Linked DNA regions of Tribolium castaneum. The protein of the gene in region 2 interacts with the protein of the main gene of each other region in a pairwise test. Links are inferred from orthologs where the notes say so. Each region holds a gene or a part of one and is shown on either strand. Other genes may lie near its edges.

Region 1 (15,528 bases), on a different chromosome or scaffold from region 2:
CATGCGAAAGACCACTTTGTAAGGAATGCAACGTACTCTTTCTTTTCTAAATATTTTCAAAGCTTACGCGATAAAAAAATGAAAATCAATTTTTATAAGTTGAAATTATAGGCAAATCACACTAGAAATGTTGAAAAATGTTAGAAATACATACTACTATCGTTATGATATTTCCCAGGAGAGGAACGGTACCCATTTTGAACAATTGTTGCCTTAAATAATGTTCAACTTATAAAATTGTGTTTTATTTTTTTATCACGTAGACTTTGAAAAAATTCAAAAAATCAAATAGTGCGTTGTAATGCTTGCAAAAAAGGCTTTCATACGAGGTGTCACTTGACATACCATTACATTTGAAAAAAAAAGTTATAGGAGGCTGTGCATCTCTGACAGCAGATAAACAAAACCATATGCACCAAATAGTAGGCAAGGAAAAATAAAAATTAACCCGTTTCGGAAATTTTCACCAAAATCGGCTAAATCAAAGTTATGAATTTTATTCCAGTTAAAAATTCCACGCTGTATGACGAACGAAACATGACGGATGAGACAAAAAATCCTTTGTAGAAAAATAACATGAGAAAAATTATTCAAAATGGTTTTATTTATTAAAGACATTAACAATATCAAGTTAGACAGTGAAAATTAAAAAATATTACTCTTGTTCTTGAATCTTCTTTAACCAAGTAAAAAATAAGACAGAATTCTTTTCTTTTATAGAAACTTTCAATTTGTGCTTTATTTTTCACTTCGAAAAATTCAAATGCGCTGTGAAATTCTACCATGAACTGAAATGGGACATACCTATCGCCTATGAGACAATGTATGTAAATTTTTAAATCCATTGAATTACTTCAATTTAAATGATTATCTTATCCCATTTTAAATCCACAAAAAAACTCTTTCGTAGCAAAATACATTTTAATATAAACCGAATCGTCTATTTTAAAAGAACCTTTACATACTAAAATTATTTTGAAAATTTTGCTGTCCTCAAATGGCTGAGTAAACGTTTTCTAATTAATGTTGATTTGACCGCAGCCGGTTATTTTATACGATTTTGAAATTATGGTTGTTTTAAAAATACGTTTTTTGTGGTGTTGATTCTCAACGGCAGTAATCGATTTAAAAGCAAGACATCAGTATTACTGTAATTCAATTTTATTTACTCTAATTAAGTTACATTTAAAGCGATATGCATAACTTCATTAATTTATAAGGATTATATGCACTTAGTGACGCCAATTCTTCATCCTGTTGTGGGAAATACCTAACCCACTTCCTTTCTCTGTAATAATCCATACAACTTGTGAGCTCTTTTGGTGAATAAGCGTCAACAAAAACGGGCACAAAAGGGTCCAAATGTTCAAATCCTTCCTTACCCAAGAGATACCTAAATAAAAAAAATTTTGATCAAAATGTCTAAATTAAATGTGTAACTTTAAAATTATTTAATTTTGCCAATATAACTTCAAAATCATGAGCCACTTTGATCCATACCTTGGAAAATGCGACTTGTGATCTTCCTCAGCAATGGCAATTTCATCAACTGTGACAACGATTGCCGCATTATTCCAATCAAATTTGGTCAAACTGAGAAAAGCCTCAGTCAGTGTGATTTTATTTGGCGGAACCACTTCCTTCTTCTCCTTAAAAACACGAGTTTTTGGGTAGAAAAACGCATTGAAACCATCAATTGCCACTAGAGTTTTACAATTTCCAGCTTTAGTCAATTGTTTCAATTCTTCAGCTAGGGCAAGAACACACTCTGATGCATATTTCAGCCGATTAATGCCATGATCAATCAATTCAAGCAAACTAGAATCTTTTGGTGTACTCTCACGTTTACTCCAAACATGCTCCCGAGTCGTTTTAAGCTCAGGGGCGCTCAGCAAATGCTCATTCTGCGACTTAAAGTGCACCAACCACGCAGCCGCGTCCAGATTTAAATCATAAAACCCTTCTCTAGTCTCAGAGCTGCTCAGTTCCTTAGGGTTCCGCATCCAATTGCCCAGCCAAGGGACATGGACCAGCAAAAAACCGGCCTTTTGGGCGTAGTGTAACACATGTGCCATTGTCAAACTCTTGCCACTTCCTTTTTTACCAAATAGGACAAAACGTACGGCGGGTTTTGTGTAATCAAGCCCTTTCAAACAATTTATAATATCGACTGAAGGTTTCCTCACCATTAAACAAGTTTCATTGAAGGTCTTTGTTTGGATTTCGTACGATTTGGGTAAACCCCCGTATAGATATACTTTGCACTCATTTTGGGGGACTCTGTAGTACTGCCCCACATGATCAAGGGTGTGTTTAAGGGGGTCGTTCTCATCGGTACGAAAACTGTGGCTTTTGGGGTCTGACTGTGGTTGGGCGGCTGAAGACAATTGGCAAAAGTGCAAAACGTTTTTGTGGCGTCTCAACAGGGACTTGAACGTGCCGGATTTGATCATTTCTGCAATTAACATAACCTCAAATTTTTGCTTATTAGTTGCTCATTCTTACTAATTTTAGTTTCGTAGCAGATAAGACGGTGAAAAAGTTCGTTTTACTTCAATTGTGTTTCATAAATAAAATTATTTCGAGAGTTGAATGTTTGATTCGAAAGAACAATGTTGAAACATAACCTCACTTTGTGGAATATGAATATGGTTACAGGGGTTACAGGTTTCCCAGCGGGTTGGAAAAGTCCATTAATGACCTTTAAATAAATGAAAAATATTTTTTTACAAAAGGCGTAGATACTAAAAGCCCCTGCATCAACTAAAATTATTTTCAAATATACACAGTGTTTCAGAAATAAATTACAATGCAAAGTTACGTTTGTTAAATGAATTCCCCTATATTTTTTGCATTTTTGGCCGTAGCTGAAAACTGATAATTTTGATCTAATCTTATATTGGTCGATTCTGCTTAGAGTTTTTGAAATAATTTGATTTGTTTGACGAAAACACGTTTTTTTTTCAATCATATTATTACACAAAAACTACCCAGAAAAGTAGGACTTTACCACGTTAAAGGGGAAAGTTTAAACTCAAAAATGTAGTGCTTACGATTATAGGAACGTAAAAAATTTAAGAAGTTTGTTAAAAGTTAAATAACTTGAAAAAGTTAAATGGAACAACGGGTTTTTTGTGTTTGCTTCACAAAAATTATTAAGTTGTCTATCCAAAATCATGAGTTTTCAAATGCTTAAAGTTAATAACTGAAAAGATGTTTAAAGGAATAAAGATATTGAGCTCGAAGTGTCCCATTTCTAATATAAAACTGTAGTTGTTTGTGCTACCGTTTTCGGAATTTTTCATCTTCACGTACAAAGCAAAATATTTGCTACCATGTGAACAATGAATTCATACTTAGAGTAGGCTTTAATACTTTTTTAACTTGGGTACTTACTTGAAAACGGTAATTATCTTAATTAATCAGAATTTCGGCCAGTACCTACTTAATATTATGCATTTTTCCCTCAATTTGCACTAGTTTTTCAATCATAAAGAAAGAAAACCACCTACGCTAATTATAAATTCAAATAACCGCATGGTACTAGTTCATATCGTCAATTGGTCTAAATGATATGTTTTTCCATTTGGGCTCTATTTGTAATTTTTAATTTGTTTTCCCTTAATATTTTGCTGGGAAAATTTGGTGATAGTGTGTTACACTTAGATTTTGTGACTTGTTCCTTGTATTGCTGTAACTTTTGGATTTATTGGATCTAATAATAAATGGTAAGTAATAATATATTGGAAAATTAGAAGCACTAATTTTAGTCTCCCATTAGGTATAATGAAGGTATTCCAAGGAAATGGAGGCGAAACAAATAGAAAACTCAATGGACATCATGTATTATATTTGATAAAAAGTAAGTTTCATCCGGTAAGCAGGACAGTGGCGGAAATGGCTCCTAATTTTTAGGTGGGCACATGGGTGGGCCAACAAAATTTTTTTTGGGCACATAATACCTAATATCAGTAATAAATAATCTAATATTTTTCCCTTAACTTCGCTATATTTTTGGTTCGATTCTTTTGTCACTGAGTTACAAAAAAATGTAGATGGTCTTTGTAATTTAATTCGAAACTAAATCTGATTCAAAATCAATAAGTTTTCTGAATCTTTTTTTCCAAAATAAACGAAAACGATACTTACGTTTTTTTAACAAAATTTTTTCACTTTTTTTACAAAAAAACATGGACCAATCTTTTAACGGTTACTTATTTTTAGAATGTAATTTATGTTTATGCAAAGTTGCAAGTATTCAAAATATCGTAGAGATTTTTTAGGTGGGCACTAATCACTGTTTCATTAATGTTCATAAAATGTTTTTCAGAAACAATTTTCATGTGTTCTAACAAGAAACGGAATAAATATGATTCTAATCCACCTAACTTAATCACCGACTAATTAAAAGTGTTGCAATTTTTTGAAGGGATGAACAAGCTAGAGATCCAATCTTTCAAAATTTGTAATCGAGTTCGTATTGGAATATGTATTGTTGATTGCATTTTACAGGCGCAGGCCTTGTAAAATTACGTGGAAGACCCTGTATTGATTATTATTGAAGCATCGTTTTCTTTGTAGTTACACCATAACGTTTTACAGCAGTTAATGCTGTTTATGATAAACAATCCTCAAAATAAGATGTTTCGACAACGGTGACCAAAAGATATTTACGATACCGATCGGTTCGTCTGAAAGACTACATCCTGGTTTGAAGTAATCTCAATAAAATTTAATGGTGTACAAGCAAAACGTTGCAACAATACTTTTTGTGTAAAAAAATCTGTGTGTATTAGTAGTTTCGAACTATTGTAACTACGCGAAAGGCACTTTGAAAATAAAAGATAGTTATTACCTATTATTGATTTAAATCTTCTCATCCTCACTTGTATTATGCTTGCATCTTAGCAAATGTTTTACTTTTGATTCTGGAATAAAATCCGGGCTAACAGGAGTGCTTAGGGCTCTTTATTGTGCATAAACAAAATAACAAAAGTATCAGGAATAAGTTACCTCATTAATAAGTAAAAAGTACAATATAAAAGAAATTTACACTAAATTTACAGCTCCAATCTCATCGCAATATATATAAATATGAATTTGTTTGGCATAGATGCATCATAAATTACGTTAACAAGACCTGAAAGAACATGAATGAACTTATAATAAATGTAAAAATGGTCTAGAAAGAGTACAAATCTAAACAGTACGCAGAATAATATGCACCCCCGAATCGGTAAAGACAGGTTCTGACAACTCCCCAACCTTGAGCGCAAACGACGCCTCCTCAAAGGGCTTCTGCATGGCCCCCCGTTTGAACGAGCCAAGGTCGCCCCCTCGTTTAGCAGACGAGCAATCCGAGTACTTTGAGGCTAAGTCAGCAAACGAGGCCTTGCCCTGGACGATTTGTTCGCGATACGCTGAAAAAACGTTCAAAAGTGGTGACATTTCTTGGCCAAAAACACTCACATTTGACTAATTCCAAGGCTTCGTCTTTAGTCCTTGTGATGTTCTCCTCTCGCCAAGAGGACGGTCTTCGCGAGTCTTTGTGTTTGACGAGTAAATGTGAGCACTGGACTTGTTCGGGGCCGCTCGAAGACACAGGTTCTGCCGGTTTGTCGGGAACGTCCCATTGGGACTCTTTGGTGTAAACGTTCAGGTAGTAGTGTTGGCCTAAAATACACGTTTTGAGTCAAGGGAGAATGATTAAAACTTAACCGAATTACCGGTTGACCGACTTAACCGCTTTTCCCACCCAGTAGGCAACTGTTCGTCCGCCATTTTCCTAGAATGCGTGTTTATTTATCGGCTAACTTCACTCGAGGCTTTATTTCTGTGAAGACAGCTACACGAGTTAGCTCCTTCAGTTTCCGGAAATACCCGGACACAAACCACTTTCACACCAACAAAATAAGCGATTGTATGGTTGGTTGCCAACACTAAAGACGTTCAATATTGAGAAAAACTGAAAAACACAAACTTCTCTTAAGGCTTCAGGGTACCGAAGCGATTGTTGAGAATTGGTGTACTACAAGTTGCATACTTTTTTAGACCTGTTTTCAGTGACAGCTGTCAATCATCGGATAGGCATCCGACCTTCGCCTCGGGGTGTCTTGTCCCTTCTCATAAAATGCAAATAATGTAAACAAACTGAATTCCACTATCGCCCACGATAGTTTCTCTTATTTCAGAGATTCAAGCAACATACAGTAAAAAAGACGTTTTTTATTTTGTTAAAAAAATTTGATACTAAAGAATAATAAAATACTAGCATAGTTTTGTAAAAAATAATACACCATTACACCATTTATTTATTGGGTTTTATGTTTTAATTAACCGAATTCTGTTCGCTATATTATGTGTCATGTGCATTTCTAATTGGATCACTTGCATTGAAAAAATATAAAATAAAAAAATTAATTGGTGAAACATTATTGTTCTTTCAGAAAACAGTTTAACTTTAAAAAAGTTACTAGGAATATCTCATTAAAATGATGAAAACTTCATTAAACCCGCTTTTTCGTCTGATAATTTTATCCAGGTAATAAATTCTGAAAAATACATTGTTGTAAAAATTTATTCTAACTATACCCAGTAATAATTATAGTACAAATAACGTATCGAGAGATTGTAAGATCCAGTCTTAGGGATATAATTTGTTTACGTTACGCCTTGTAAAATAAATGATACTTTTATAATTATGTATTATTTTAGAATTTAGGAATTATTTCTCGTTTTTTTATTAAATTTATACAATTTTTCTATAACTAGCTTGCGAAGATATAGCTGCGTTACTCTTACATTATATAAATTTTGTGTATTTCTTTAAAATATAACGCATCTTCTGGTGTTGCAACAATAGTCGGTGCAAGGACTAAAAAAATTTTATACGTGGGAGTTAAAAATAAAAATTGTAAAAAATGTATGTATTATAAGAAAAAAAACCAAACGACGCCCCCTCATAAATGTTTTAAAAATTGGAAAAACACTTCAACTTCAATGGAAGCAGCAATTATTTTGGATGGATTTAAAAAATCAGTAGACATGCATAACGTAAGATTTAAAAACCTCATAGGAGATGGTGATAGTAGCGTCTACAAAAAAATTCGTAATGCAAGACCATACGGGCCTAATTATTTTATTAAAAAAATTGAATGCCGAAATCATATACTACGAAATTTTTGTACTAAAATTAGAGAAATCGCTAAAACTCCTCGTTCTGACATAAATATAAAAACTTTTTTGCGCAACAATTATTTGAAATTTAGAACCGCAATTGTTTCAGCGATAAAATACAGAAAAAACGAAAACTGTACTTTCGATCAAAAAGCAGAAAACCTGAAAAATGATATTTTAAATGGACCTGCACATATTTTTGGTAATCATTCAAAGTGCGCTACGTATTTTTGTAAAACAGTTGGTCAAATAACAAATGCAGTTGCATATTCTGACTTTAAAAATAGTTACTTGTTTGAGTTGTTCATGCAGGCATTAAAACGAGTTGCAAATTTATCTTCAAGTCTATTGTATGATGTCGATAATAATTCTGTTGAGTCATTTAATTCAGTGGTTAACAAACTTGTTGGGGGTAAAAGAATAAATTTTTCAGAACGCGGTTCTTATCATGGAAGATGCTTTGCGGCAGTCGTAAATGTAAATAACAAAAACAAATTTGTATTTAAAATTATGGAGAAAATATCAGGGAATAGTGGCATTTACACCACAAAATTTTCAAATCGCTTATTAAAAACCAAAGAACTTCAAGCTACAAAATTAAATAAAAGAAAAATTCGTATTCAAAGTGCAGATTGGGTTGACACCTTGTCGTGGTGAGGGAGCTCAGTAGTTCTATCACAAAACCTGTGCAGAACGAAGCTAAGTACAACCAAAGTTTTAATCATCTTTTTTTATATTTTTTTTAAAACAGGAATAATTTTATTGTTAAAAGTATTCAAAAAAAATAGTGAGCGTGATTACTCGTATTTCAAAATCTCATAAGATACGTTGATAGCAGTGTCTACAAAAAAAAACGTAATGCAAATCTATAGGTACCTAATTATTTTGTTAAAAAAATTAATTCCGAAATCATGTGCTTTAATTTTATACCACTATTAGAGAAATCGCTAAAATTCCTATTTGTGCCGATACATTTCTCTGTCTTGAACAAATGCAATAAAATTATTATCTTGTGGGTCACCCCAATGGTGGTTACCTCCAGCGGTGCGTCCTAAACCCGTCATAAATCTTCTTCCAGCTAGCTACGCATTTGAAGAAGGATGCATTAAAAGTTGCCTACTTACAATTTAATTTTTGCTTTATATCTAACAATTGAGAACAGTTAACAAAAATCTAAAATATCTCAAGTCTGTATTTTTAAATTTCCTATAAAATGGTTTTTTTAAATTCTCAATACAATGCACCGTTATCAAAAATTCGTATCAACTTCATTAACAGACATTTTATTTAATAAAAAAATATCTAGGCATTTATTTCAATCAAAAATGAATCTTCGACCTACATTTACTTATAAAGAAACACTGCAAATGTCAAGAAACTCTTCAAGTCTAAATTTGCGGCTAAAAACAGTAAAAACAGTTTACACGTAAAACGTATGCGCCAGCTCCCAGAGGGTCTAGAGCCTTAAATCCAGTATTTTAAAAGAGGGAAAATTTGTTAAGGTGAAAAATCAATTACTTACTAAAAATTGCCTTTTTTTTTAAAAAAAAGCAGATTAACACCAATAAAAAGAGATTTATTACAAACTTTACTGCGTCCAGAAACCGGTTTTTTTACACAATGCCTTTTTGGCTATTAACACGGCGTTAAAAAAAGACATTTATTACAAAAAAAATTTGTAACAAAGTTGTCGTAACAATACTAAAAAATATAAATTTTCTAGCTCCAAAATTCTTGGTTCAAAATTTGTCGCTGGTATAATATTTATTTTACCAGAATTCTTTTCTTATTCAGAAACTTTCAATTTGTACTTTTATACCTTCAAAACATTCAAATGCGCTGTTGCAAAATTCTACTGTGAACAGAAATGGTATATACAGAGTATTTTTTCCTCTGGTGTCAATACAAACTTACAAACGCCACCGCATATAGGTACAGCCGCCTAAAAAGAAAATGACGCTTCATAAATGAATGTCTACTACTCATAAATCATCTGACATCGTAAAAGAGTTTTGAATGATGTTTCACATTTCGTTTAATGATTTTTAAAATGTTTAAACATTTTTGTTGGAATTTTTAATAAGTAAATTTTAACATCGACTAAAATTTGCTGAATAACAAACATGCTTAACACGGACTCTTATTTCATTTACATTTTAGGTTAAACTTTCATTGCGAATTAAAAATTTAAGTTAACTAAATTTTTACTATTTGTTGGGAGTGCCTTCTAATATGTTTTCTTAAAGTAAAAAGTTTTGTTGCAAAATAAAATAACGTGACATTTAAAAAACAGTTTTGTTTAATTAACTTTTGCCACAACTTTTTTACCGTAGAAATATTTTACAAAAACTCTTAATTCATATTGTTGTCGATATATAATTTTTATTCAAGACTTAGACCACGAAAAGATCAGATTGTAATCGGTTGCCCAAAAAATATTTTAAATCAAAGTAATTATTATTTTTAAAACTTCATTGCTACAAATTATAATCAAAAAGACCGTTCTTACAAAACTTATAGTGCATCAAACTAGATAAAACAAAAAGTATTAATCTAATTTGCATTTCAAATTTCAAGTAAAAACGTTTATACTTCTAATCGTTCGATTATTAATCGCTCAATAGATTTTATTAACATTTTTGTTTATTAAATGTTTGAAAAAATTGGTATAACTAGAATAAAAGTTATCAATGGACATTAGAGTAATTTATTTCTGGAAATACTCTGATTAAAATTTTGACCAATACTGTCAATACCAAAAAGAAGTTTTTCTTTAAATTGACGAATGTTTATTAATTTTCTTAAAACACAAACAAATAATAAAAAACTTAAATTCGTTGCGTCGTTTCGACACTTTAAGAAGTCAAAAAATTGTTGGTTTGTTTGCAAGTTTTATTTATTACTTAGTTAAAGAAAAAAGTTTAATAGAAACCATTATTAAAATTTAATTGGTTGTTAGAAGTTAATAACGAGAATGGTTCATTTACATTTGTTCAATTTGGCCAGTTAATCAGTTAATCACGCATTTAATTGCGAATTAAATTAATGACGCTTCTGTAAACCGGTCCTTAGAGTCGGTTTAGAGAACATTTTAACTGCAATTAAATTTTAATTCTAGATTAATTTGACAGTTGTCAATGCATTTTAAATGGCAAATTAATGTCGGATTACTTTAATACGGAATTAAGTTCTAATTTTACTCTCTGTAACGTAAAACGGCGCTTAATGTCCTATTATAACAAATAAATACAGCAAATCTTATTTCATTTTATTTAGAAAACCATTTCCAATTAATAAATTACTCACGTATACTTAAATTGTCACTGTGTTTTGTATCTCATCACTCTTAACAGTCACTTCAGAAAAAATGCATCCAAATCCCGAAATTCCAAATGATTTTAATAGGTAATGTTAAGTTTCTTTTAAAATACACGATTCGGTTTATCTTTCTAGTGTATTTTGCGATAAAAAAGTTTTTGGGAGAGGAGAATCATTTAAACTGAAGTAATTCATTGCATTATAAAATTTTCATGATTATGCTTTTTAGGCGATAACATAAAATATTGTCCAAAGGGACAATAATAATAAATTCTCCAATTTATTTCATTTATAATCAATCCTTTATTATATTTTTGTTTTTTTTATATAAAATTAGTATAAATGTCAATATTTCACTCCAGTCATATGAATCGATGGGTAGTAATTTGACAACTTCAAAGTTTTTCAGGTAAAAACAGTTACCTCAGTTATCTCTGCATTTGTGGACGTTGCAGTAAGTTATATTTCTTAATATTGGTGCGATAACAATTTTGTTATGCAATTTTTTGTAATAAATGTCTTTTTGTTGCTGTATCAATGGCCAAAAGGGCATTGTGTGACAAAACCGATTTCGGGGTTAAATGAAGTAAAAGAGTTAGGATAATGCATTTTTGAAGCTATATAGACAAGTTTATGTTTTTTAATATTGTTTCGACAATAATTCTGTTATGCAAGTTTTTGTAATATGCGTTTTTTTATCGTTGTATTAATGACAGTGGCGGATCTAGCTCCTAATTTTTGGGTGGGCACATAGGTGGGCCATCAAAATTTTTATTGGGCACATAACACCTAATATCAGTAATATATAAATAATCTAATATTTTTCCCTTAACGACACTGTCCAGACTTCAGTTAATTTTGCATGTTGCTAAACTAATAAACTGATTAAAAAATGATATACTAAATTATAAAAAAAAATTTACAGCCGCATGAAAAATAATATCAAATACGTTTTCTATGAAACTTTTTATTTTATCGTTTAGAGTTGTACCAGTTTCGTATTTTCCAGCAACAATTTTCTCGCTTAGAGACGATTAATCTCAAAATGCGTACTTACAGCCCTAACTTTTTTTGAGCAGTTTAGTTTTTGACTCAACATTTTAATATATTTGTACCTACAGATTGAACCTCATTCGCTTATAATACTATACTATAATCAGTTTGTAGATGTATTTAAAACTAGTAAATTGCTATATAATATATAATATATAATAACTTAGATTAGATTACAATTACTCACAATTTAACAAAATTTTTCTATTTTGATTAGAAGAATTAAATTTAACGTTCTCAGAGTTTATAAAGACTTTTGATTCGATTCTACACTTTACTAAGAGCCAAACCAAAAATTAAGTCTTTCGTTTGTCACTGAGTTGATGTCGATGGTCTTCGTAATTTAATTCGAATCTAAATCTGATTCAAAATCCTTTTTATTGAAACCAATAAGTTTTCTGAATCAGAGGGCGTTTTTTCAAAAATAAAGAAACTAAATTTTCGGTTTTTTAACATAATTTTTTTACCTTTTTTTTTACAAAAAACATGAACCAATCTTTTAACTGTTACTTATTTTTATAAATGTTCTTTATGTTTATGCAAATTTCTGATAATATATTTTTTACCAATAACAAAATTTTCCCTTTTTCAAAATTTCATATTTGAAAGGGCGTTTTGTGTTTTTTCAGTTTTTTAATTTATTCTACGTCTATAAAGTGGTTAACAAAATATATAAAATTGCTTATTTTGCTAGTGTGAAGTTGGCTTCGTGTTCGGGCATTTTCGGAAATTGAAGGAGCTAGGTTGTGGAGCTGTCTTCACGCGATTGTTCATCGTCGGGTCGCAACGCTCACTTATCGCCCAGCATCGGGTTTTGGTGGCTTTTGATTGGTCGGTTTTGTTGCTTGTTGGAAAATGCACCAATCAGAAGCGTCGCTTGTCCACAGCCACGTGTAAATGATCGTTTTTAATACATGTGAGGTTAGCTGCATACAATTTTGTAATCAGCTGGGCGGTGACAGTTCGATTTTGGACATTTGCGTGGTTAGGTATCGACGCGTGCGACGCTAGACACGTCAAATACGGCGATTGCTGTTTTTATTTATCTCTTCGTTTTTAATTTATTTGGAAAGATTTAATTTTGTGTGAGAACTGGGAGATTGTTCATGTGACGATATTGTAAAGTTTGATTTTATTTGTTTCGAATTCGTCAAGTGGTTGTTGGTGAAAGTGTGGGTGTTCTTTTATGGTAAACAAAAACATATTCTAGGGTTTTCGGATCATTTTAGGTGAGTTTGCGATTTTTAATTAAGGTTTGTTGGGTTTTTGTGTGTCGGGTAATTGCCCTCGATTAAATGTAGGTCATTAAGTTATTAAATAATATTCAATTGCTGAAATAACACAATTCGGTTGAACGGTTTTTTATTATCAGTGAAGAGGCGGTTAAAATTAAGAAATTTTAAATAACGCCGTTTCGTGTAAATAACTATTGTAATGGGTATGAAAAGAAAACACCTGTTGAAAAGGAGACAGGTGAAGTAAGACCTGCGTTACCTGCCTGAGTGAGTCATCGTCAGTTTGCCGATATCTTCCCAAATTCCTGAATTACAAATGGGTCAACGTTATTTTTGCTACCTTATCTGAATGTAGTAATTTTTCAAATCTAACTCCTACCTATTTGCCAATTTTTAATTTGAAATTTTTGATCAGATTAAGATTATTATCGGTTTATCAAATGTTTGTACAGCTTGTTGGTAAAAAGGTAAAAAATAAAATTACTTTACTTGTAACTTGTGATAAAATATCTACCACGCGTTCAATTAAATCACTCATCAAAATGGCTTGTAACTCTGAAATTCAGTTGGCAACTGTGTGGAGGCAGAAGATATGAAAAAAGCACAGGTCTCTTTGATTACTATTTAACAAATAAAACTGAAAGAGTAATCTAACAAATTTACTTTATTCATGGTTTTGTTGTTATTTTTGTACAGAATGTCAAAATCTCAATTTTTTATAAACTGGAAATATGAATAAATAAATACTATGAGATCGAAAATGTACTGAATTAGAGCAAGCCTTGAAAGTTAAGTGTGTAACTTTTCTCGAGTCCTTTTGGAAGAACTTCCGCTAAGCTTTTTGGTACCACAATTTATTCTTCATTAATTGTTTTTATAAAATTTTGTAAAATCGGGATATTACTTCCGAAATTCTGCTAAGCATGCACCAATTGAATATTTCCATTCTCCGTTTATTTTGTTTTCGTGGTAAATACCATTTGGTAAACATTTTGGTTAAGCAAGAAAATAATTTTTGAAAAATTATTTTTAAATTCTGATCTGTCAATTTTTGACATGTGGTCAAAATTCCACAGGCACAGGCTACTCTAATTCAGTTCATTTTCGATCTCATGTTATAAATTTTCCACTTGCTAAGAATTTCTAGATAACAAAATTACTTTAGGCATAAATGATGTTATAATTTTCTGACCATCCATACAGAAATTAATTTTTGAAAAATTGTTTTTGAATTCTGATCTGTCAGTTTTTGACATGTTAAAATTCCACAGGTCTGCTCTTATTCAGTTCATTTTCGACCTTATGTTACAAAATTTCCACTTACTAGGAATCTCTGCATAGTCGTCTGTGAATTTCTCATGTAAAATCAGAAATGCCGCTTTATAGAATTAATGACAAGCATTTAGACAATGTTACCATTCTCCATTTATTAAGTCTTTAACAATAAAAGTGCTTTCTTGCAAAGTGTAACAGTTTAGTTGCATTTTAACCAAATTTTTTAAATAAATTAATTGACAATTTGTGAATTTCACAACTGAGAGTTTTGACATTTATTGACAGAGAATTCAATTGAGCAGAGCGGCACAAATTTTTTAGATGTAAACCAATTTCAAATTAAATAGATGAGAATCATTTAAAAACACATTGTACTTTAGGCACGTGTATGATGTTATAGCTTTCTGATGACTGTCTATAATAGCCTAACGTAGACATCAAACACTTTTAATAAAAAAATATTAAAAAAACAGTTGTGGACAAAAAAGTAGAACAAGTCTGGTAGCAGATTTTTGATTAAATTTTGTTGATTGTTGATTAAAACGGACTTTGACTTTAATTTGACACTACTTATCAAAAAATAGAAATCTTGGGTCTGGTCGAAGAAAGGTTTCTCATCAAGAGCAAGACGAATTTCCTCAGATATTTAATTTTGAATTTTTAATCCTGTGAATCAGGATTAGAATCACGATCGCTCAAAGATCTTGTTACACTAGTCAAATAAAAATTGTCCCATTTTATTTTGTCCACAACTCTATGTCGGATTTTCAAAATTCATTGCGTCAATCATTGTGTTCACTACTTCAGTTTATTTTATGAAATGGACATCTTTTCTTGATTTTTTCTGTACTGCACTTTACCATTTGTAAATAAAATGAAGAAAAAAATCTACTGTTAATGATAATCAAATTGTACCCTGGTTGATAAAATATTTAAAATACCAAACGCATATAAATAAAATAAATGAAAATAAATCAAGATCTACCTCTTCACAAGTGAGATGTGTGCATAGTGAAACCATGAAACATTTTGTGAAGATATGACGGTATATGCCATTATTATGGCAAATTATGAAAACTTAATGTTTTTTTGATACAGCAAAATAATGGATATTGAGATAATTGAGAAGAATTTGTGATAGTAAATTTGAATGATTAATGATCATAGAGTTTTTATGTTTGCAGGTATCCCATAACATAATCGTTTTTGTTTTACCTATTTACTGTTATTTAATTATTGGTGTGAAATTATGTACACCTTCAAATTTGATGTTAACAAAGGTTGTTGTCGAGGTCGACGTCTTTATTGTTGTTCGTTACGGTTGTAGGCTTCTGTAAATTTGTGGGTGTACGTTTTTTTGCTATACAATATAGGTTTCATTGTGGAGTGCATACATTTCTTGTTACTTCTTCGCTTCTGCTTTACACAAGTTTTGCCCACACAACTGATCAAGTAAAAAAACAGCTTCAAA
Region 2 (16,510 bases):
GAATTTTTTCAGAAGTTTTCTAAATTCCTTATATAATAAAAAATACAAATTAATCAAAAACAGTAATATTAATCAAATTACAAACATAAAACCGTCATTTATCGAAGCATCAGATAAATTGAGTCATAAATAATTAATAATAATAATAAAACAGACACTACAAAAATAAAATCCCAACTGAGAGTAACTTAATTTGTTTATATTTTTTTGAGTTTCTAATCGAAATAACTAATGTTTTCGATAAATATCCTTGAATATCAATATTTTTTAAATCCAAAACTTCCAAAATTTAATAATGTTTTTGGTTTTGTTATAAATTTTATTTTTTAAAGCATTTCTTTAACTTTCTTTGTTGTCTGTTTGTCAAATTTGAGAGGGTACCCGTTATCCGAACGAACTGAAATTTTTCATACATACGTAATGTATGTGACAATGCAATAATATTTGGTTAATCACCCACTAAAAAGGTTAAATGATGAAAAAACATTTTAAAAGGTGTGAAAACGCAGCGAAATATCTGATAATTTGGCAACGCGCGCGGACTTACCCCCATGCTATTTTCACTCTTGTTCTGGGAAAATTAAACCAAAACTTGGTTTCTTCCTATCGCTTTTAATGAAAGTAAACAATTATAAATCTTTCCTCATTTTACATAAATTCTGAAGCGGCAACATTTTAATATCGTTCTTCATTTTCACGACGCCTTCGTGTAAATCAATGGAAAGCAATTCTCCAGTTGCTTCCCTTTCTTCACCGATGATAACTTTGAAAGCGTCACCGCGTTGTGGTCGCACTGGTTCCAAATGATCGGAAATAATATTAACGACTCGATCTTCCTCCGGTAGGAAAATCGAGCACATGGCTCCGGAAATGCTCCGGATTATTCCGGTTTGGCCGACTAGACCCGGATCGTCGTGACTGTCCCTGATCCGGACTTCGATATCGATCGTATGCCAGTCGGTCATTGGGAGCACGTCAAGACCGGCTCCGGGCGTTTGAGGGTTGTAGGGCATGTTGGGGCTGTAACCGGAACTGGGGGTGTTGTAGGGGTTGTTGCTGGCGGGGGATTGGCCGTAGCCTGTGGCGGGGCTCGGAGTCGAAATAGCGCCTGGAAAAAAAAAACAAAAAAAAGTGTAATCCCAACAATTACAAAGTCATCATTTTGTAATAAGAACGTTATTAACCCACATATGGTCAAGCTCGGTTAGTATTGTAAGATTACGTTTCTCCTCCGGAAGTTGTATAACTGTTTTCATCAATTTTTCTAAATTTTTTCAATCATAACACATAATTGCAAATATCTGCATAAATAATGAGGAATGTTTATATTGTAACGGTGTACACTCTGTTTTATTTTTGCAAAAAAGGAAAATTCTGCGAGAATGAGTGAAATGAAGTAAATATTTTACATTCTTTTTTTAACACTATGTATTTTTATTTTACCTCAAGAGTATTAGGACCTATTACACAAAATCACGATTAAAAAAGTTTAAAAAATGCAATTTAATAGGTTTTACATAACCTTGACCATTAAAATTTTAAGGAAAAAAACCCTGGTATAACACAGAAAATGAGCCGCTGAATCCACTGGAACAAACCGCATTGCTCTACGACTTTTAGTTTTTGAGTTATGAATTTTTTTGTTGAATAAAATTTTTCACTATAGAAATTCCTATCTTAATTTTTAGCAAAAAATTTTAAAATGCCAGATCTCGTTGAAAGCTGGTATAATACCGAAAATGAGCCGCTGAATTCACTGGAACAAACCGCATTGCCCTAAGTCTTTTAATTTTTGAGTTATAAATTTTTTGAAAAATAATTCGGCGCATCCACCATTTTTCAAATTAAAATAAAATAAATTACGGCAATACTGTTCAAAAAAGTGGAACTATTTTTATCCATACCTATGCAACATGATCCGGGGAATCGATTGCCATTGAGAAAACTGCCAAGTTCCCAATAGTTTTTTAGTTATGAATTTTTTAAAATTTTACCAATTTTTGCTTTTGTTTGCGATTTGCTCGAATACTATTAGTCGGAGAACAATAATCTTTTTGAAAAAAATAGATAATTTAAAGAGCTTTCCAACGATAATACACTTCATGGGGTTTTCTCTGATAGTTCCGGAGCTATTGCTCGATAAATGTTCTGGGTACCCAAATCGACCAAAATTGCGACAAAAGTTGCAAAAATCAAAAATCTAAAAATCAGAGCAATTATTTTTTTTTCTACTTTTAACAACTCTAGAGGGTTGTTAAAGCATATATAAGTTCAAAAAACTATGATAGAACAAGTTTAAACAAAAATAATTTTTTCAGTTTCTTGATGGTAAGTGAAATTTTAGCAAAAAAAACCAAAATTTTAAATCTCGTGAAAAGTTGGTATAACACAGAAAATGAGCCGCTGAATTCAATGGAACAAACCGCATTGCTCTACGACTTTTAGTTTGTGAGTTATGAATTTTTTTGTTGAATAAAATTTTCCACTATAGAAATTGCCTATCTTAATTTTTAGCAAAAAATTTTAAAATGTCAGATCTCGTTGAAAGCTGGTATAACACAGAAAATGAGCCGCTGAATTCACTGGAACAAACCGCATTGCTCTACGACTTTTAGTTTTTGAGTTATGAATTTTTTTGTTGAATAAAATTTTTCACTATAGAAATTCCTATCTTAATTTTTAGCAAAAAATTTTAAAATGCCAGATCTCGTTGAAAGCTGGTATAATACCGAAAATGAGCCGCTGAATTCACTGGAACAAACCGCATTGCTCTAAGACTTTTAATTTTTGAGTTATAAATTTTTTGAAAAATAATTCGGCCATCCACCATTTTTCAAATTAAAATAAAATAAATTACGGCAATACTCTTCAAAAAAGTGGAACTATTTTTATCCATACCTATGCAAAATGATCCGGGGAATCGATTGGCATCGAGAAAATTGCCAAGTTCCCAATAGTTTTTTAGTTATGATTTTTTTAAAATTCTACCTATTTTGCTTTATTTGTAATTTTCTCGAAAACTATTAGTCGGAGAGCAATGATCTTTTTTGAAAAAGATAGATAATTTAAAGAGCTTTCCAACGATAATAAACTTCATGGGATTATCTTTAATAGTTTCGGAGTTATTGCTCGATAAATGTTCCGGGTACTGGAAATCGACCAAAATCGCGACAAAATTGGAAAAATTAAACATAAAAAAAATCGAACGTGTGGACTTTTTTTAGACTTTTAACAACTCCAGAGGGTTGTAAAGCCATATAAAAGTCCACAAAACTTTGCTAGACTGAGATAAAAAAATGTTTTTTTCATTTCCAAAAAACTTACTTTGATATCCCGGACTAGCTTGATACGGACTATAAGTCGAATCATAAATAGTCCCCGGAGTTTGTGGCGTAAACGGTCCATTCATTTGATATCCCGGAGTGCCCGGATTATATCCTGGCGATGGATACGTATTAGAAACGGTCGGATCCCATTCAGAAGAAGCATTTGGCGTCCTTGAACCATCATGAATTGGCGTCATTGAACCACCATAATGCAGTGGAGTACGAGAACCAGAATCACACATCGGCGTTTTATTTCCGGTATCACGATACAACGGAGTCTGGTTTCCGGTGTACGCAGGCGTCCTGCCATAACTCGAAATACTGCCATCCCTGCTAGGCGTACCTAAAATTAATTAACAATTATTATCAAAACATTCAGCCACAAAAAAAAATCCAAAAAAATTATCAGCAACCAAAGAAGCTTTTGTTGTATGCAGAGTGAGTTTGCTAAAAGTATATTTTGACTGTGTCTCAAAAAGTAGTAATCACGCTGACTATATTTATAATTTATAAACTTGCACATATAAAAACATGATTATCATAATTAATCAAGTTGTAGAGTCAAATAATATTTTTTTACACTAGTTTATCAATTACAAAGAAAAAAAACGCCTACTCTGATTATAAATTCAGATAATCGCAAGGTAAGGGAGATTACGTATGTATGCAAGATTTCAGTACGTTCGGATAAAAATAACTAAATAAATAAAATAAATAAAAATTGATTTCTGTGTGATAATTAATTTTTAAAAAATTTTTTTTTGAAAAATGACCGTACCAACATCAGCAATATGACTCCTATCCACACTGATCGTCTGACACGAAGTGTGCAATTCAATCCTTGCCGTTGACTGTGTCGCATCTTTGACAATCCCGATATTGCCTTTATAAGGCCCTTTGGTGATTTTGATGGTAGTACCGATGATGTCACGATCACGTGACACCCTCCCACGGCCGCCTCCGCCGCCGCCTCCACCCCCACCCCCAGGTCGGGGACTTGCAAATCCACCCATACCGCCGCCACCACTTGAAGGATGCATCGGTGAACTCCTCCTCGGTGACATGTATTCCATTCCGGTTGAAATATCGGCACTTGGAACGCTTTTATTTCCACCGGCTAGTTGTAAATGTTTCGTTTTGCAAACGAAAATACCGCCGTTTTGGAGAAATTCAACGGAATGTAAAAATGCAAAATTTCGATACAGGTGTTTGATTTCGCCGGAAAAGCCGGAATGTGGACCGTCGATGACTTTAACCATGTCTTTGCGATGGAGATTGTTACGGTAGGAGTCTAAGGCGGCTGTGAAACGGTTTAAACGGCGTTTTTGCAACGAGCCGGGACGGCACTCGACCACCTTCCCTAGAAAATAGAAAGACACATTATTCGTGTTTTTCAAGTTTCAATTTCCACTGAATATTCGTAAATTTGTTCATTCTTTGAGCCGCTGTTGCAACTATTTGGCAAAATTCCGTCAAAAAAAAAACATAATACGAAAATGATGTTTGAGCAAAAACACGGTGTTTTGCGATATTTCGGCCAAAAATCATGAAATTAGGTCATAGATTACATCACTTTTGCCTTTTGCTGAGTTCGTCAGTAAAAACTCAATTCCTTAAAATTTCGTCAAAACTACGAGCAAATGAATTAAATTAACGCGGAAAATCACAAAATAATTCAATTTTTACATTTTTCGAAAACAAAAATTTAATTTCGCTGAAATACCAAAAAATACCTACCTAAGCTGGTCAAAAATTATCTTAATTTTACGTTTTAGAATAAACTTTATGTAAAAACGTAATTATTTCACAAAATCTCGTCTAAAATGAGAAAAAAAAACACCAAATCAAACTTTTTTCAAAGATTAAGCACATTTTTTCCACGAATTATACCACCAAAAAATCACTAAATTGAGTGGAAATAGTAAATTAAATTAGTAAAATAATAATTTTTAAGGCATTTTAGCACATCATGTTTCAAATGCGCAATCATTTCGCAAAAAAGCAGAAAAAGCTAATATTACGTCAAAAATGTCGTAATATTTCTATTTTACGGACGTTTTCGTTACTTGGTTAAAAATCACTGACGAATATAGTTTGAAACGTTGATTTATTTAAAAAGTTTGTGTTAAAATATCTGCAAAACACGGTCAGTACGTGGGGCCCTCGTGGCCTAGTGGTATAAGCGCCACTTACGACCAGAGGGGCCGCGGGTTCGAACCCGGATCAGAGCAACAATTTTTCTATGAAAAAAAGTGTAGAAAAGGTAAGTGAAACAACACGTAAGCAAAAATAAGAGATTGAGAGAACACATAGAGACGTATAAACGTAAAGCGGAGCATAAAACTGACAGAAATAAGAAAATAATGCGGCAAAAAGTAAAAGTACGTAAAGGCGCTAAATTGTAAACGTAAGAGCACGTTGTAATAAAGAGAAAATACCTTTTGTTTTGAGAGAAAAAGAGATGAACGTAAAGGTGAAACATAACTTCAAATTTTAGCGTTGAATCCTTAGATGACTTACTTCTTAAATTAGAAAAAAAATAAACGAAAATATTTAATTTATGTCTAAAAATTTTTAGTTAACTGAGTTTATTTAGTAAAGTCCCAAAAAACATTGTTATTAAAAATCATGGTACTGCGAATCCAGTAGGATTTACGCACGTCCACTATTTTTGACTAGAAAATACACAAATTTGGTGATTTTTGGAGAAATTTTGTCTATTTTCGGTCAAGAACGTGCTGAATGTCACAAAAAAAGGTAAAAACAATTTTAAAATTGCAGAATCAACTTATACGCCTGGTATCTTTTGATAGAATCTGGTGAAAAATTAGAGAATTAAATTGAAAAAAAGTGGAAGAAAATGTTTTCTCGAGCTAATTCGCCAATTTTTGACATGAATGTATTTGCGTTTTAGATGAATTAAGGCAATTATAGTTTGTAATGTTGATTTATTTAAAAAGTTTGTGTTAAAATATCTGCAAAAGATGGTCAGTACCTGGGGCCTCGGTGGCCTAGTGGTATAAGCGCCACTTACGACCAGAGGGGTCGCGGGTTCGAACCCGGATCAGAGCAACAATTTTTCTATGAAAAAAAGTGTAGAAAAGGTAAGTGAAACAACACGTAAGCAAAAATAAAAGAATGAGAGAACACATAGACGTATAAACGTAAAACGGAGCATAAAACTGAGAAAAATAAAAAAATAATGCGGAAAAAGGAAAAGTACGTAAAGGCGCTAAAATTGTAAACGTAAGAGCACATCCTAATAAAGGGAAAATACCTTTTGTTTTGAGAGAAAAAGAGATGAACGTAAAGGTGAAACATAACTTCAAACTTTAGCGTTGAATCCTTAGATGACTTACTTCTCAAATTATAAAAAAATTAAACGAAAATATTTAATTTATCTCTAAATTTTTTTAGTTAACTGTTAATATTTTAATATTTAATATTAATATTTAAATTTAATATTTTTTCCTATAAATTTAGGCATATCTATACTTTGTAAAAAATGTTTTAAGAAAAAATGCCAGAACTTACCGTGCATATTGAGAACATGAAAATTCTCCCTCTCCAACCTGACGATCACTCCCACCGTCTCCGCGTCCAAATTGACCAAATCCCCCCATTCAAATTTCCCCAACGAATCCACTCCACTCGCCATATCCGTACAAAGTTGCAAATCCTTTGGTAAAATCTCCATTTCGTGCATCGTCAAATCAGAAATCAAAACAACCCGATTATTCTCAACTCTGACAACCAATCCCGTATCACCCTCGTACCGACCTATAAACCATCCCTTACCACCAACCTTACAAAACAAACAAATAGTCACATACCAGCCAAAACCTTAACATGGTCCCCCATTTTAAAATACTTCTTCAACTCAGACGCATGAAAAAAAAGCGGTTCCTTCAAATCCTCATGCTTCGGCATAATCGTGATCATTGTTCCATCGATACTAATAATTTTCCCTTGAAGATTAATCAATTCACCCTCGCACACTTCAACATTATCGCCAGCGCTGAACGAATGCGTGACGGCTTTGTCCTCCTTCTCGGTCGGTAATTCCAAGTCTATACCTTCGGGTTGTTCTTCGAAACGTTCCAATTCGGCTAGTGTTGGTTTAACACCGTCGATTATGACAGCACTGAGAGTGAAATTCTTGTAGAGGAAGCCTTTACGCGAGTAGCGGTTTCCTTCGAAAATGAGAAAATCACCGTCGGAGGTCACTTCACCTCCTATGGAACGGATGGCTTCCGGATCGAAGGGTTTGCTAGGTGGGCGACGCTTCTTTTTGCGCTTTTCCGCCTCCGATTCGGATTGAGTGGTGCGGAGAGCACCTCGAAGACGAGTATAATCGATTCGAGGCAGGAGTTTGAGGTGGACTTGGTTCTGGGCCATGTCGAAGTAGTCGACTTGGGCGATGTCGTCTTTGTAGAGACCGCGCTTCAAACGCACCCATTGCTTTGATTTTAATCCTAAAATTTAATATTATCCTTATACATTGTTCGTATTAAAAATTGTTTTTTTGGAAGTATATTTTCAGGCCCCACGTTGGGCGCCACATGATGGAACAGACCTAAACTGTTTTTTAACACGGAAATCGCCAAGGTCTAAATTTTGGTGAAAAAAAAAAAATGTGCAGCTTATATCCAAGCCCATAAACTTTGCTAATTTCTGATTTTAAGGTCAGTAAATTAGTTCACTCCCAATTGTTAATTTTCATTTTCCATCAGGGTGCCGGTTTTTTACAATATGATTCCTTAAAACTTTTCTGATTTTATAAATTTTTGACGTATTTTGTACTAGTTCCAACAGTTTCACCGTAATCGGCGTTTGGTTTATATATCTTTTTACGCCTTAAAACTTGCATAATGTTATAAATTTTTAACAGCGACTTCAATCGGACTTTTAGCGCCAATTCTAATAATTTCCACGTAATCGGCGTTAAGAATTATTAAACCAAAATATTTAATTTATCTCTAAAAATGTTTAGTTAACTATGTTTGTTTAGTAAAGTCCCGAAAAACATTGTTAATAAAATCATAGCCACTGCGAATCCAATAGGATTTGCGCACGTGCACTATTTTTAACTAGAAAATACACAAATTTAGTGATTTTTGAAGAAATTATGTCCATTTTCGGTCAAAAACGTGCAGAAAGTCACAAAAAAAGTAAAAACAATTTTTGAATTGTAGAATCAACTTATACGCCCGGTATCTTTTGACGAAATCTGGTGAAAAATTAAAGAATTAAATTGAAAAAAAGTGGAAGAAAATGTTTTCTCGAGCTAATTCGCCGACTTTTGAACTGAATGTATTTGCGTTTTAGGTGAATTATTGCAATTATATAGTTTGTAATGTTGATTTATTTAAAAAGTTTGTGTTAAAATATCTGCAAAACACGGTCAGTACGTGGGGCCCTGGTGGCTCAGTGGTATAAGCGCCACTTACGACCAGAGGGGTCGCGGGTTCGAACCCGGATCAGGGTAACAATTTTTCTATGAAAAAAAGTGTAGAAAAGGTAAGGAAACAACACGTAAGCAAAATAAGAGATTGAGAGAACACATAGACGGATAAACGAAAAACGGAGCATAAAACTGACAGAAATAAGAAAATAATGCGGCAAAAGGTTTTAAGTACGTAAAGGCGCTAAATTGTAAACGTACGAGCACATTGTAATAAATGTAGAAAATACTTTTTGTCTTGAGAGAAAAAGAGATGAACGTAAAGGTGAAACATAACTTCAAATTTTAGCGTTGAATCCTTAGATGACTTACTTCTTAAATTAGAAAAAAAATAAACGAAAATATTTAATTTATCTCTAAAATTTTTTAGTTAAATGAGTTTGTTTAGCAAAGTCCCGAAAAACACTGTTAATAAAAATCATGGCCACTGCGAATCCGGTAGGATTTGCACACGTCCAATATTTTTGACTAGAAAATACACAAGTTTGGTAATTTTTGAAAAAATTATGTTCATTTTCGGTCAAAAACGTGCTGAAAGTCACAAAAAAAGATAAAAACAATTTTAAAATTGTAGAATCAACTTATACGCCGGGTATCTTTTGACGGAATCTGGTGAAAAATTAGAGAATTAAATTGAAAAAAAGTGGAAGAAAATGTTTTCTCGAGCTAATTCGCCGACTTTTGAACTGAATGTATTTGCGTTTTAGGTGAATTATTGCAATTATATAGTTTGTAATGTTGATTTATCTAAAAAGTTTGTGTTAAAATATCTGCAAAACACGGTCAGTACATGGGGCCCTGGTGGCTCAGTGGTATAAGCGCCACTTACGACCAGAGGGGTCGCGGGTTCGAACCCGGATCAGAGCAACAATTTTTCTATGAAAAAAAGTGTATAAAAGGTAAGGAAACAACACGTAAGCAAAAATAAGAGATTAAGAGAACACATAGACGTATAAACGTAAAGCGGAGCATAAAACTGAAAGAAATAAGAAAATAATGCGGCAAAAGGTAAAAGTACGTAAAGGCACTAAATTGTAAACGTAAGAGCACATTGTAATAAAGGGAAAATATCTTTTGTTTTGAGAGAAAAAAAGATGAACGTAAAGGTGAAACATAACTTCAAACTTTAGCTTTGAATCCTAAGATAACTATTTCTTGAATTATAAAAAAAATGAAACGAAAATATTTAATTTATTTCGAAAATTTTTTACTTAACTGAGTTTGTTTAGTATTTGCGCACGTCCACTATTTTTGGAGAAATTATGGCCATTTAATAGATGGATTGTCCCATAAATCAAAAACCGACCAACTTCATTTATTAAAATTATTATGAATTTTTAGGGTGATAATCATTTCAAAACTTTTAAAACAACAAAAAAATAATTTATTTTATTTTAAAGATCGAAGCGGGAAGTTTCTTAAGTTCTAGAATTGGTTGAAAAACCTACCAGTCTGTTCCTTAACCACTCGTAAAACATCGGTCATTTCTTTAATCGGCACCATTTGTTGTTTCCAAATCCCCATCCGCAAATTGCCCACATTTTCGATAGCGGCTTTGACATGGGGTTGTTTATAAGCCTCGATGTAGATGTAACCTTTGACACCTTCTGGTGCCACAACCGATTTGATTTGAAGAGGTTCACTCGTATTTTGATACGCTAAATATTTGCGCATTAAAAGCAAAGCTGTCGCTTTCTCTTCACCAATGCGACATTTAACCATCCACAAATTCGGATCCCTTCCAAAAAAATTAAAAAAAAAAATGTTACGATTATTAGAAACTTACTTAACGCCAGGCAATAACGTCTGTTGGGTGATCTCATCTGACATTTCCTCACCCCCATCTCCGAAGTGCTTAGCAGCCGCACTATCATCGGCATATTTCTTCCTCAAATATTCTTCAATTTCGTGTTCTTTTTGTGCGCTAGAGAATTATCAAGTAATTATTAGTACGAAAAGTTTTGGGTAAAATTACTCCCAGAGGTTCGTTCCTCGTCGTCTTCCTTCGATTTCACGGGCCGTGGGTCCGAATTCGTCAACTTCGTTCGGTACGATACCGATTTCTTGCGCTCCTTCTTCCCATTCATCTTCATCTTCGACTTCGTCATCTACTTCCGCTTCGTCAATAATAAAACCGCCGTATCTGTCCTTCTTCTTCTTTTTTTTGGCACGACCTGAATCGCTTTCGTCTTCTTCGCTGTCGTATTCGTCGAGAGAATCGCCTTCTGGCTCTTGTTCTTCTTCCACTTCTTCCGGTTCGGAGGCTTCGCGAGCCTCAGAACTGCAAGAATGGTTAAAATCAAACAATTATTTTTATTGAAATTAATAGGAAAAATAGAAAAACAAGATAATTTTGAAAGTTGGAAGACTTAAAATAAACTAATCAGAAAGAAAAAACGAGACAAAAAAAACAATAAATAATAATGTCATTGTCAACCCGATTTTTTAAAATTATTTTCGATGATACTTCTCTGAATAATAAAGTTTTGTAGGTTTTATATTACAAGTTATGGTTTAACCAGCATTTTAAACCAAATTTTTTAACGAAATGTCGAGAAATTATTGCGTTTTTGGCAAAAAAAAAAACGTCGTGACAAAATGACAAAAAACGTATAGGCTGATTAATAAAAAAACATGCAATTGTAGACTTCAACCTTAGTGACCAAATTTATTCAAAATTATGACTTAAAAATGCCTTGATTACCGTTTTGTAGATTGAAGAACTGTCAAAATTCTTTCAAAAATAATAAAAAAGCAAACACAAACTTTATTATGTTTTTATAAAAATTGTAGCATAGATTGGTCTTTTATGAACGTTGGATAATATTTGTAAGTTTCTCATCGTGATTTTTAACGATTTATTTTGATAAGATTTTTAAAAAACTGCTAAATATCATTTTCCACATAATTTCTTCTGATTTTTCCACTCGTTTTAATAACATCACACAAACGAACCCAATCTTTTATTTCAAAATTTCTTTTAAACACTCAGCAAAGACAAAATTTACAAGTTTTTTTTAATAATTCGATACTTTATCGGCACATTTTGACGAAATTTCAACCAACAATTCCTACCATGGTTAAAAAAATGTTCGAACACTGAAAAAACGCTCAAAAATTGCAGAAACTAGACTATTTTCCACACGATTTTGTCATTTTTCGAGTATTTTTTATCAAATTTTGTAACATAATTAAAAAACGTGCTAAAAAATTCAAGATTTTTCTTCAAAATTTCTTCAAAATAATTTAATACTTTACGTTTTTTTCTTTTTTTTTAATAAATTTCAAGCAACAATTCTTATTATAGCTGAAAAATATGTTCGAATATTGAAATAATTATAATATATTTTTCACATAATTTAGTCATCTTACGAGTTATTTTTGACAAAATGTGGCAAAATAATTGCGTGGTTTTTTTTGGTCGAAAAGAAAAAAGCAGAAATAGTATTCCCGACACAATTTTTTATTTTTATGGCCCGGTTTAACCAAAGCACTCAAAAAACTTTAATCTTTGCTTCAAATTTTCTCAGAGCACTCAAAAATTACAACATTTTTAAATTAATTGAATGTTTTATAGGCTTTTTAATGACATTTCCAAAATTAATTGCTATTACAAATTTTAGAAATAACACCAATTTCTGTATAGTACATAATTTTGGCTCATTTTTGACAATATTTTAAAAAATGATTGTTTCTGGCAATAAAACGTACTGAAACACTCGAAAAATATAACTTTCCAGCTAATAATTTGAGAGTTTTCATGAAATCTGTTAAAAGAAAACGACCAAGAAAGTGGTTAAACGCTCAAAAAAAGTAATAACAAAATTTTTGTCATAATTAAAAAAATATCGGTTTGTTTAAAACATGATTTTGCAAAAATAGTGCGCTTCTGCTGAAAAACATATTAAAATGCTTTTTTAAAAAAACACAATATCATTTTAATTGCTCTTTGTAAAAAAAAAGTGCATTAACGTTCGACAAAGTTTTTTTTAACCAAGTTAAAAGACAAAATAACACCATTTTCGAACAAATTGATGCTTTATTGGCTTTTTTGACCAAATTTTCTATTACAACTAAACATCAAACACTCAAAAGAGACAAAAATTATATAATTTTGATAAAGACAATGTTCGAAAAATAAATTATAACACCATTTTCTTCAAATTTTGGCTTAAGACCTTCTATAATTTAATTGACAATAAAACTAAATCGGTTTATAGAAGCTCCATTAATTTAATCCCCAATTAAATGCGTGATTAACTGATCACGTGACCAAGTTGAGCCAATTTGATTGGTCCATTCGCGTTGTTAACTTTTAACAACGAATTAAATTTAAATTTAAATTCAATTAGCAAAGCTTTCTATTAATAAAACATCCCAATCAAAACGAATTCACGTAATTTCATTTTGTTATCCAACATTTCACATAATTGTACTCCAACGTGAAAAAACAACGTTTTTAAGAGCATTTCTTGCATTGACTGAACTCTTCAAACCAAACCAAATCATGAAGCTACATCATCAAGTCACCTTAGGTCCCCTTAACCCCAAAAACATCTCACAAAAACAGAGACACAACTCAATCCCCATCCTCGTGTAAAACAGCCCGAGCCCCAAAATAACGACCTGAAAACCTTCCACCATATGGAACATACCCAGAACGTGCCGAACGGCTCCCAGATTTGGACCGGGACCGCGACCTGGACCTGGAGCGACTCGGCGACCTTGACCTGCTCCCGCGGGAACTCCTCGACCGCACCGAGCCCGCCTCCGACGCGTTATCAGAGAAATTGCTTCCCTCAGAGTCCGACATTCTCACTTTTGCAAAAACAGCCAAAAATTCACAAATTCACTCAAGTGACGCCATTTTGATCTGATTGATGATGGCGCATGGGACGCGCTACCAACCCCAGATTCAAACTTTTAATCAATTAATCCCACGATTTAAACACTTCGTAGAGCGAGTCTAGCAATTAAGCATTGAAAATTTTACACGAAATAGCAGTTAAAAGTGTATAAATAATTGTTCAAGTAACGTTAAAATGCGCAGCAGTCACTTGGTGGGGAACAAAACTCCCTAAATTTTTCTTGTTTGTTGGTCGGATGTCAGTTACAAATCAAAATAATGGAAGAATTTCCGAAATTAGTGAATTCGCACGATGATTCCGTCATTACAATCAACAATTCATCCGTACGTTTAGAATCACGTAAACCAATCGATGCCTCACGGTTTTTTTCAGTTCTCAATCGGGCGAAGCCTCAGCTGTGATCACATCATTGAGTCCCTCGGTGTTTCCCGATTTCACTGCTTCATTAAGAAGAACGGCGACCGGTGGACGCTCTTCGACCGGGTAAGCGCCCCATCGCCCCCTTGCCCAGTTACCGTTTGCCTACTCTAGAGCACGAATGGAACAATCGTCAACTCCACACTGTACAAATTCAACCAAAGCACCGAACTGAAGGACGGGGACGTGATCAAGTTAGGACCCGACAATTTAGACTTCGTCTTCACTTGTTTTAACCCGCCCAAAAGTAGTGAATCTCACGCCACGCCTTTAAACGAGCAAGATTTCAACGCAATTGAGCGAGAGTTGGAGGTGATAGACGAGGCGCTTTTGCAGGAGTTGGAGGAGCCCTTTGCTGCCGAGGGCGCGCCTCCGGAGGCCAAGCCCCAGCCGGAGCCCAACTCGGAGGATGTAGACACAGAGCTCACTTGTAGCATCTGCTCCGAGCTGTTCATCAAGGCTGTTACACTGAACTGTTCGCACACGTTTTGCAAGTTTTGCATCGATAGGTGGATGAAGAACAAGTCGAATTGTCCCATTTGCCGCAAATCTATCACAAATATCGCGCCGACTCTAGTCCTTGATAATTTTATCGAGAAGTTTATTAAAACGCAAAGTGATGACGTGAAAGAGACGCGGAAAAATCTAATCCAGCAGAGGGAGGAGATGGTTGTTAATATGGCGAGTAGTTCGACTAGGTCTCCAGAGGTGGTGGACGTGGAGCCAGGGCGTGTGATTGAGATTTATTCCGATGATGAGGATTATCTGGATGTGGAAGATGAGGATAGCGATTACAATTATTTAAGTGATGACCATGACTATGATGTGTATGATTGTTACCCGGATAGGCCCAGGGGGAGGTATTATGGGGGCTATGGGAGGTGCTTTATTTGCAACCAGGCCGGGCATTGGGCCAACAGTTGCCCCTTCAAGAGGCTATGAAATGTGTAATTTTGGTAGTTGTCTAATTAAATCATAAAATGTTTGTTTTTTTTCTATTATCTTGCTAAATACAATTATGTTTTTTTGTATTTTTTTGTTTAATCCCAGCTGTGCACTCTAGATCGATGTTTCAGTAACCTCGGCGCCCTCTAGTGAACGATTTTGTAATTTGGTTTAAGTATCTATTGGCTGTTTCAAAACTATAAAAACGCCAATATCGCATTTTCTCTTAAATTAGTTTTAAAAAAATAATAGTTATTGTAATTTATAGTTTCCAGGGGCGGATCCAGAAATTAATTTTGGGGGGAGGGGGCTTCCAAAAATTTTTTACAATGGTGACGCTATTTATTTGTACAAAATTTTACAATGCAAATTTATATTTTTTACATAAAACACGCTATATTTTGTGCAAAAATAATGTAATAGATAATTTCGAGCTTTTCCTTCCAATAAGAAAAAAAGGTCAAAATAATTATCAACATTAACGTAATTTTAGCTAAATTATTCTGATAGAAAAAAATGTTGAATTCATTGATTACTCGGTCTGCGTTTGCTCCCATTGAATGAAACATGAAATTAAATTATATTACGAGTGGAAGTGGAGATGAACTTAGGGAGAGATATTTCAAATGTCACGTCTGATCGATAATAAATTAAAGCAATTAAACGTATTAATTATTAGGGAAAGATTTTCGAAATGATGACGTCAAAAAAAAGGTTTAAACCGCATCAAAGATTTATGCAATGTCGCATGCAGCAGTAGTTGATCTAGAGCGCGATGACCGACATCGTCATCCCGTGACGTCATAAGTACACTCGGAACAAATTGACAATTGTTTATTCATATTTTCCCAGCGCACGGAAAGCAGTGGTGGAGGAACAATGGCAAGAGGTGCCAAAGGTCATCTAGTGTGCATATTACGAAAGATTTGCCCCACATTTTAAGATACACTGTGATTCAAAAAAAGTTGAACTATCGATTGTGCTTATGGACGATCTTTTCGAATCACTCTGTAGAATTTTTTCAATTTTTTTTGGCTTTAAATAAAAAATACCTCACTGTATATGTGTAAACAAAGCTTTAATCGAATATGAAGCAATAAATAATATCAGATTCGATTGATTTTTTAATTTTTAGACATTTTATTAGTAATTATTACAAGATATGGCTCAAAAATGGACGAATTTTTTGTGCGATTGAAAAAAAAATTAACAAAAAAATAGTTTTTACCTCTAAAATTTGTTTCCACACTTAAAAAAAATGCTTGGCCTACTTGTATTATTTGATAAAATTTTACAAACTAATTGCGTTTTGGTCGAAGAACTCGAATGAGACAAGAAATAATGTGGTTAGTTGATTACTGTCTTAATTTGGTGATTTTTCGGCCTGTTTTAGCCAAACCTCAAACAAAAACTGATGAGAATTTAGTTTAACCGAAGATTTCTGTTCAAAAATAACATAGTTTTTACTTAAAAAATGTATATTAACACCG

The links.
Region 1: the proteins of Spt5 (region 2) and peptidyl-prolyl cis-trans isomerase NIMA-interacting 1 interact in binary tests that used the Homo sapiens proteins (3 or more experiments, as listed by UniProt). The link is inferred for Tribolium castaneum from reciprocal best matches to the Homo sapiens genes SUPT5H and PIN1.

What each region holds. Positions count from the first base shown.
Region 1 is NC_087394.1:12,585,266-12,600,793, forward strand, and holds peptidyl-prolyl cis-trans isomerase NIMA-interacting 1, read right to left. Parts: upstream 5,885-15,528; 5' UTR 5,782-5,884; coding exon 5,727-5,781; intron 5,674-5,726; coding exon 5,470-5,673; intron 5,421-5,469; coding exon 5,200-5,420; 3' UTR 4,947-5,199; downstream 1-4,946. Other genes in the region: mRpS29 (small ribosomal subunit protein mS29), read right to left, coding at 1,186-1,393, 1,501-2,453. UniProt on the Homo sapiens protein: Peptidyl-prolyl cis/trans isomerase (PPIase) that binds to and isomerizes specific phosphorylated Ser/Thr-Pro (pSer/Thr-Pro) motifs.
Region 2 is NC_087401.1:13,830,795-13,847,304, forward strand, and holds Spt5 (transcription elongation factor SPT5), read right to left. Parts: upstream 13,604-16,510; coding exon 13,446-13,603; intron 11,072-13,445; coding exon 10,766-11,071; intron 10,715-10,765; coding exon 10,577-10,714; intron 10,529-10,576; coding exon 10,239-10,528; intron 7,802-10,238; coding exon 7,160-7,801; intron 7,107-7,159; coding exon 6,861-7,106; intron 4,687-6,860; coding exon 4,105-4,686; intron 3,670-4,104; coding exon 3,325-3,669; intron 1,109-3,324; coding exon 630-1,108; 3' UTR 593-629; downstream 1-592. Other genes in the region: E3 ubiquitin-protein ligase rnf8-B, read left to right, coding at 13,916-13,981, 14,031-14,141, 14,190-15,017. UniProt on the Homo sapiens protein: Component of the DRB sensitivity-inducing factor complex (DSIF complex), which regulates mRNA processing and transcription elongation by RNA polymerase II.